Neurospora crassa OR74A: one gene and its partner. The protein of the gene in region 1 purifies or fractionates together with the protein of each later gene. This does not show direct contact. Links are inferred from orthologs where the notes say so. Each region holds a gene or a part of one and is shown on either strand. Other genes may lie near its edges.

What was found.
Region 2: the proteins of NCU09512 (region 1) and NCU02685 purify together in Saccharomyces cerevisiae (affinity purification with mass spectrometry; 7 studies listed by BioGRID, with this or other methods). This does not show direct contact. The link is inferred for Neurospora crassa OR74A from reciprocal best matches to the Saccharomyces cerevisiae genes LSM3 and BRR2.

What each region holds. Positions count from the first base shown.
Region 1 is NC_026503.1:55,358-58,689, forward strand, and holds NCU09512 (U6 small nuclear ribonucleoprotein), read right to left. Parts: upstream 2,036-3,332; 5' UTR 1,872-2,035; coding exon 1,749-1,871; intron 1,639-1,748; coding exon 1,546-1,638; intron 1,389-1,545; coding exon 1,311-1,388; 3' UTR 725-1,310; downstream 1-724. Other genes in the region: NCU09513 (GTP-binding protein 1), read left to right, coding at 64-419; NCU09511 (hypothetical protein), read left to right, coding at 2,455-3,332. UniProt on the Saccharomyces cerevisiae protein: Component of LSm protein complexes, which are involved in RNA processing and may function in a chaperone-like manner. Component of the cytoplasmic LSM1-LSM7 complex which is involved in mRNA degradation by activating the decapping step.
Region 2 is NC_026501.1:3,194,149-3,198,763, reverse strand, and holds part of NCU02685 (pre-mRNA splicing helicase), read left to right. Parts: coding exon 1-4,209; 3' UTR 4,210-4,615.

The DNA of each region.
Region 1 (3,332 bases):
TTTACTTTCCTCTGCCCCTTGGTGCCATTCAAAAAATTCTGTATGTATCCTAACGTGCACTAGTCCTCATCCTCTCCCACGCAACCACCATCAAAACCAAATACCAGGCCATGCTTCATGTCGGCCCCGTCTCCCAGACATGCGCCATCATCGACGTTGATCGTCCGTTTATCAGGACCGGCGATCGGGCTACCGTCGCGTTTCGGTTTGTCCAGAGACCCGAATACCTAGTCCCGGGAGACAGACTTCTCTTCAGAGAAGGCAGAACCAAGGGGTTGGGTATCGTCAAGAGTGTGGGGTATGATCCTGAACGGCCGTTGGGCGGGGTTAATGTAGGTGAAGGGGGTGATAAGGTGGCTGCGGGCGTTGAAGATGTCAAACATGAGGGTGGCGGTAACGAGGTGAAGGTTGGTGCTTAGTGACCTGGCACCTGGTGCTGATTTGGCGTTGGGCAGATGATGTTGTGATGACCCAAGTTGGGGGCCGCGTTACCTTTTTTTCTTTATACTTTCTTTGATGCATGGCCTCATCTCCTCGTTTTGATGGCTCATATACGGAGCGGCGCAGTCAGGGCACAGTACAGAACTAGTGGTGACCCACTACTTGCAGATATTCAAGTAGTAGTAGGAGTAGTAGTAGTAGTAGTATCATGGACGATATGGCTTTTGTATGTGTCGGTGGAAGATGAGTGACCTACAGGTATTCTCAAATGAACATATGAAAATTCTTGAGCAACGTACTGTATTCTTTGTACGAGCGATCCTTTTCAGCCTCCTCAGGAGGAAGGAGATTGCCTGGCTATCAATGCTCCATGGCCGGGAATAACAATGGTATATCTGTGCCGTGATCTATCTTTCGGCTCTAACGACAAACGATGAACGTGATGTGATGACGGTGATAGTCACATCTCAAGCCAACTTCTCTCCTTGTATCTCTCTCCTATCCTCTTCCCGAAGCTTGGTTACCGGTTTCCTTTGTAAGCGCCGCCCCTCTCGACCTTGAGGTAGCCACCACCTAGGTAGGTAGGCTTAGCGACGACCCATGTCCAACTCCCACTGAGACAAACCTTCGGCTGCTGACTGTCCAGAACCCTCCGCCGTTGCCGTTTCCTTTCCCTTCTCTTCCAAATGCTCCTCCTCTTCCCTATCTACCCCCTCCCAAAACTGCGCCTCATCCGCCACGTGCAATAAGTTCCACCTGCCGATGGGCAACCGGTCCTGGCCAAGCGGGCCACCGGAGAAGGGTTTGATGCCGTAGCGGTGGCGGAAATCGTGCTCGTCAACTGGTCGCTCCACATACACGGCCTCTTCTCAAGAACGGGTAAAGGGCGAGATGAGCACGACGGAATCGCCGCGAACGAAGAGCATTTCGGACTTGCGGGAGATGGTCTGCCTTTTTGTTAGTATATGAGAGTGACGGAAAGGGAAAGCAAAAAAGACAAACGAGGTATGAGAAGGAAAGGGGAAGGAGGGTGGGTATAATGGGAAAGGGGTGAGAGGTGGTTTGACGAGAGAGTGGCGGTGGGTAAGTGAAAAGATGGCATACCTTCAGGTCATCCTCCTCGGTATCTTCATCATCCACGACGTAAATGGTCTCTTCGACTTCCCCGAGGACAAGGTTGCAATGGGAGTCGTAGGCCTACATCACAGTATCCGAGTTAGCAATGAGTTCGGGTGGTGGTGAGTGAGGCGTAACGGGAAAGATGTGACGACTGAAAAGGGGATATGTAAACATAAGAGTGGACTTACGTGCAGACGGCCCTTGAGCTCCCGATCACCTCTCAGCTTGACGCAGACAACCTCGTCAAGCAAAAGGCGGACGAGGTCCATGGGCTCGGAAACAGAGCCGGCATCTTCTACTGCGTCGGCCATTTTGTGTGATGTGTGATATCAAAAGAGCCAAAAATAAATAACGAGTGAAGAGAGAGAAAAAAAAATGAAGTTGGCGTTGTGTTCCTGTTGTTGATGGCGGGGACCTCAGCTGCAGCGCCCTGGAACGATGATGAGTGAGTCCAGTGCCAGTGACGGACGGCGGGGGGTTTCCATGCCTGCCCGATTGGAAGCGCTCGCTTCGGTGCGAATTGAGGTCAGTGCCAGCTGGTCGCATGCCAAGAGCAACTGAAGCAGCCCGACGCACTGACCGCTTCCGAAGTGGAAGCTTGACCGGTTCTTAAACGCTTATGCCAGAGCTTCGGCTGGGCAAGGTCTTGGCAGGAACAGGCGCCCAAAGTGACAACAGGCCTTCCCCGGATTTGCAAAGGCGGGCATCGCGAGATCCATCGCACTTCTCCTCTTTGAGTTAGCGGGGTTGACTTACACCTCGACTTCAGTTAGTACCTAGGCACGCCCACCAGGGCACTCAGCTCCCCTTCAACACCACGGCCGAGCTTCAATTGCGGACGAAAGTCGCCAATGGGGGTGGTGTACAACGCCGTCAACCCCAATTTGCAACCCAATGGCTGCCCTTCTCTCCTGTCGTGGGGTTCGAGTTCCTTCTCCGAAATCTCGACGACTAGCCTCCGCCGTCAACAAGCTCCAGAAGCTCCCCCATTCTACGACCCAAACAGCAAAACCCATCTCAGCAATTCCATACCCAGGCAACTTTGCCCACCATGGATTCGGTCACCAACTTGACGGACCTCGACAGCCCCTCGAGCAAGATGAGCTCCTCCTCCTCCGAACCCTTCTCGCAAGACCCGTCGTCGCAAAGAAGCCACCTGTGACAAAACGGTCGCCTTGGATAGACGGCTTCACCGCGGCCTTCAGACAACCCCACAAAATGCTCACTTATTTCAAGGAGAACAAACTCGAGATCCTTCAACTTCCACCAACAGCATTCAGCGAACTTCTCCGCTCCGTTGACCCCGTCGAAGCCGTTCACAAAGACCAAGATCCGTTAGGAGACATATGGGTCGACCCAGCCATGGCCGATTGGTCCCCTTTGGGGGCTCTGGTCAATAATTACGGCGTCAGAAAAAGAAACACCGACCTTTACCCCCTAGTTCACGAAGCTGCCTTTCGTCGATTCCGCTCGGGTTCTCCCCTTCTTTTGTCCGACTACAAAGTCCTGCTGCGATGCGCCGGATCGATTTCGGACCCCCTCTTGGCTCGCAAGATCTGGTTCCACATGAACGTCTCTGAAAAGATGTGGGAGCGCCAGACGGACCTGTATGCCGAATTTCTCAAGGCCCGGTTCTTGACGGAACCGTTGTATACCCAACACAACCGGCATGACTTCCGCGTCAAGCCTGTAAACCTCTTTCCCGAGCAGCGGTTTCTGCCGTACTTCACGCCTGACAACTTGTCTCAGCTGCGACAGATGAACTTTGACAA
Region 2 (4,615 bases), on another chromosome or scaffold:
GCCGGAACCCGTGAAGTCCTGAGCGAAGCCTCCAACTCTGTCAACAACACCGATCTGAAGGATATCTTGCCCTATGGCTTCGGTATCCATCATGCTGGTATGAGTCGTGCTGATCGTACCGACGTCGAAGATTTGTTTGCCAGTGGCCATATCCAGGTTCTTGTGTGCACAGCCACTCTTGCTTGGGGTGTCAACCTTCCAGCCCATACCGTCATCATCAAGGGCACGCAAGTGTACTCGCCTGAAAAAGGTAGCTGGGTTGAGCTCAGTCCTCAGGATGTGCTGCAGATGCTTGGTCGTGCCGGTCGTCCTCAGTTCGACACCTATGGTGAAGGTATCATCATCACCACCCAGGGAGAGATGCAGTACTACCTTTCGCTCCTTAACCAGCAGTTACCCATTGAAAGTCAATTTGCTAGCAAGTTGGTTGATAACCTCAATGCTGAAATCGTGCTGGGCAATGTCAGAAGCCGTGACGAAGGTGTAGAGTGGCTTGGCTATACCTACCTCTTTGTTCGTATGCTTCGCTCTCCTGGTCTTTACCAAGTTGGGGCAGAGTACGAGGATGATGAAGCTTTGGAGCAAAAACGTGTCGACCTAATACATTCCGCTGCTACTGTGCTGAAAAAGTCAAATCTAATCAAGTATGACGAGAAGACCGGAAAGCTTCAGTCCACTGAACTTGGCCGCATCGCCTCGCACTACTACATCAGCTATGGTTCGATGGATACCTACAACAAGTTGATTCAACCCTCTATCACCGATGTCGAACTCTTCCGAGTATTCGCTCAGAGCGCCGAATTCAAGTACATTCCTGTTCGGCAAGAAGAAAAGCTGGAATTGGCCAAGCTCCTGGCAAAGGTACCCATTCCGGTCAAGGAGAGCATTGAGGAGCCTACCGCAAAGATCAACGTGTTGTTACAGGCGTTCATCTCTCGTCTGAAGCTGGAGGGTCTCGCCCTCATGGCTGACATGGTCTACGTTACGCAATCTGCTGGTCGTATTCTTCGGGCTATCTTTGAAATCACGATGAAGAAGGGATGGGCATCAGTTGCTAAGCTGGCCCTGAACCTGTGCAAGATGGCCGAGAAGAGGATGTGGCCAACCATGTCGCCGCTGAGACAGTTCCCCAACTGTCCTGTTGAGATTATCAGGAAGGCTGAAAGGATCGACGTGCCCTTTTCCAGCTACTTCGATCTGGACCCTCCTCGGATGGGCGAGCTTCTCGGACTACCCAAGGCGGGCAAGACTGTTTGCAGCCTGGTGGCCAAGTTCCCCCGCGTCGAGGTCCAAGCCCAGGTGCAGCCCATGACAAGGTCGATGCTGCGCATTGAGCTTGCGATCACGCCAAACTTCGAATGGGATGCCGATATCCATGGGCTTTCCGAGAGCTTTTGGATTATCGTAGAAGATTGCGATGGGGAAGACATTCTTTTCCATGATCAGTTCATCCTGCGCAAGGACTATGCGGAGTCCGAGTCCAACGAACACATTGTTGAATTCACTGTACCCATTACTGAGCCCATGCCCCCCAACTATTTTATCTCCGTCATTTCCGACAGGTGGATGCATTCCGAGACACGTCTGCCCGTGTCGTTCAGGAAACTCATTCTCCCAGAGAGATTCCCTCCTCACACCGAACTGCTTGACCTGCAACCACTACCGGTCAATGCCTTGAAGGCCAAGGACTATTCCGCGCTGTATCCTGATTGGCAACAATTCAACAAGGTGCAAACACAGACTTTCAAGTCCCTGTACGAGACTGACAACAACGTCCTCATCTGCTCACCAACGGGCAGTGGCAAGACTGTTTGTGCCGAGTTTGCCTTGCTGCGCCACTGGGCTAAGAAGGAACACGGCCGGGCCGTCTACATTGCACCTTTCCAGGAACTCGTAGATCTGCGATTCCAGGACTGGCAGAAGCGGTTTGCTAACCTCCGCGGCGGCAAGGACATTGTGAAGCTTACAGGAGAGACGACCACTGACCTTAGGCTCCTGGAGCAAGGCGACCTCATCATGGCCACACCGCTGCAGTGGGATGTCCTGTCGCGGCAGTGGAAGAGGAGGAAGAACGTTCAGACGGTAGAGCTTTTCATCGCTGACGAGCTGCACTTACTTGGTGGCCAGATGGGCTACGTCTACGAGATCATCGTCTCGCGGATGCACTATATCAGGACCCAAACGGAGTTGCCACTAAGGATTGTCGGCCTCAGTGTGTCTCTTGCCAACGCTCGTGATGTTGGCGAATGGATCGACGCGAAAAAGCACGACATTTACAACTTCAGCCCGCATGTGCGACCTATTCCATTGGAATTGCACATTCAGTCATACTCCATCCCCCACTTTCCGTCCCTCATGCTGGCGATGGCAAAGCCTACTTATCTGGCCGTTACTCAGCTTTCTCCCGACCAATCTGCTCTCATCTTCGTGCCCAGTCGGAAGCAAACAAGAGCCACGGCACGAGATATCCTCACCGCCTGCTTGGCTGACGATGATGAAGATCGTTTCCTTCATGTAGACGTTGAGCAGATCCAAAAGCTCCTTGATCGCGTTCAAGAAGCGGCATTAGCTGAGGCCCTGAAGCACGGTGTTGGTTACTACCACGAAGCCCTGAGTCTCAATGACAAGCGCATCGTCAAGCATCTCTATAACAACGGCGCCATCCAGGTGCTGATCGCCTCTCGCGATGTGTGCTGGGAGCTTGATTGCACTGCTCATCTGGTAGTTGTTATGGGCACCCAGTATTTCGAGGGCAGGGAGCACCGCTATGTTGATTATCCCCTGAGCGAGGTTTTGCAAATGTTTGGCAAGGCCCTCCAGCAGAATAAGGCTGGGCGTGGTTGCGGTGTCTTGATGGTTCCTGCGGTCAAGCGGGAGTATTACAAGAAGTTCCTCAACGAAGCCCTCCCTGTCGAGTCTCATCTGCACAATTTCCTCCACGATGCCTTCGTGACAGAAATCAGCACCAAGATGATTGAGTCAGGTGAAGATGCCATCAACTGGGCTACTTTTACTTACTTCTACCGCCGCCTGCTCGCCAACCCAAGCTACTACAGTTTGACAGACCCTACGCACGACGGTCTCAGCCAGTATCTCTCCGACATGGTTGAGGCTACCTTGAAGGATCTGGCCGAGTCCAAGATCATCGACTTCGATGAGGATGACGGCACCGTTGCTCCTCAGAACGCCGCCATGATTGCTGCTTACTACAACATCTCGTACATTACGATGCAAACCTTCCTTCTTTCGCTGACGGCAAAGACAAAGCTGAAGGGTATCCTCGAGATCGTGACGTCGGCTACCGAGTTTGAAGCGATCCAGATCAGAAGACATGAAGAAGTCATTCTGCGTCGCATTTACGAGAGTGTCCCCGTCAAGATGGCCGAGCCTGTCTTTGATTCACCGCATTTCAAGGCCTTCGTTCTCTTGCAGGCCCACTTCTCCAGGATGAACCTCCCCATCGATCTCGCAAAGGATCAAGAGGTCATCCTCACCAAGGTGCTCAGCCTGCTGAGCGCTACTGTTGACATTCTCTCGTCGGATGGTCACCTCAACGCCATGAACGCCATGGAAATGTCCCAGATGGTGGTGCAAGCGATGTGGGATCGGGATAGCCCGCTCAAGCAGATTCCCAACTTCACGACGGAGGTCATCAAAACGGCCAACAAGTACGGTATCCGAGACATCTTCGACTTTATGGAGAAGATGAACCCCGAGGAGAACGCCGACTACGCCTCTCTGGTCAGGGACCTTGGTCTGTCTCAGGCCCAGCTCGCCCAGGCTGCCGAGTTCACCAACAACAAGTACCCCGACGTCTCGTTGGAGTTCGAGCTTGAAGACAAGGACAACATTCGGGCGAACGAGCCTGCATACCTCAAGATCAACATTGAGCGCGAGGTTGATGAGGACGAGGAGTTTGATCCTACGGTGCACGCTCCGTTTTACCCTGGCAAGAAGACGGAGAATTGGTGGTTGGTGGTTGGCGAGGAGAGCTCCAAGACTCTGCTGGCGATCAAGCGGGTCACCATTGGCAAGAAGCTCAACGTCAGGCTGGAGTTTACGGTGCCTACGCCTGGTCGCCACGACCTGAAGCTAATGTTGATGAGCGACAGCTATGTCGGTGTTGATCAGGATCCGGCGTTTTCGGTCATGGTGGAGGAGGGAATGGATGTTGATGAGAGCGACGAGGAGGAGGAAGAGGAGGAGTAGGAGGAGTAGGAGGAGGAGGTGGTGGTGGACAATTGATAGGGAATGGAGACTGATTAGGTGTTTATGTATGGTAATGCAAGGCAAGTACTGACAACCCATCTACCTGGCAATTGAGGCGGTACGGTATATGTGGATGTGTATGACACAGGGGAAAAAAAAACGCAGTAGTTCAACGAGAATGCATCATCTTCGGTTATCTAGCAACCCTCCTCACCCATCGGTTCGCGGATACATGTGCCGGGTGGTTTTGGCACGCCTAGTGGTGCTTAGGGTGTCAGCTTCAGGCCCAAGTCTGGAGTGGTGCGGGGTTTCACGACCGCTGCGTGAGAGTGTCGGGAGAGGCCTGTCTGGGAATGTTTGGGGCTGGGCTGGGATGGGGGTTCCGGGTTGTGGATGGATGGAAAGG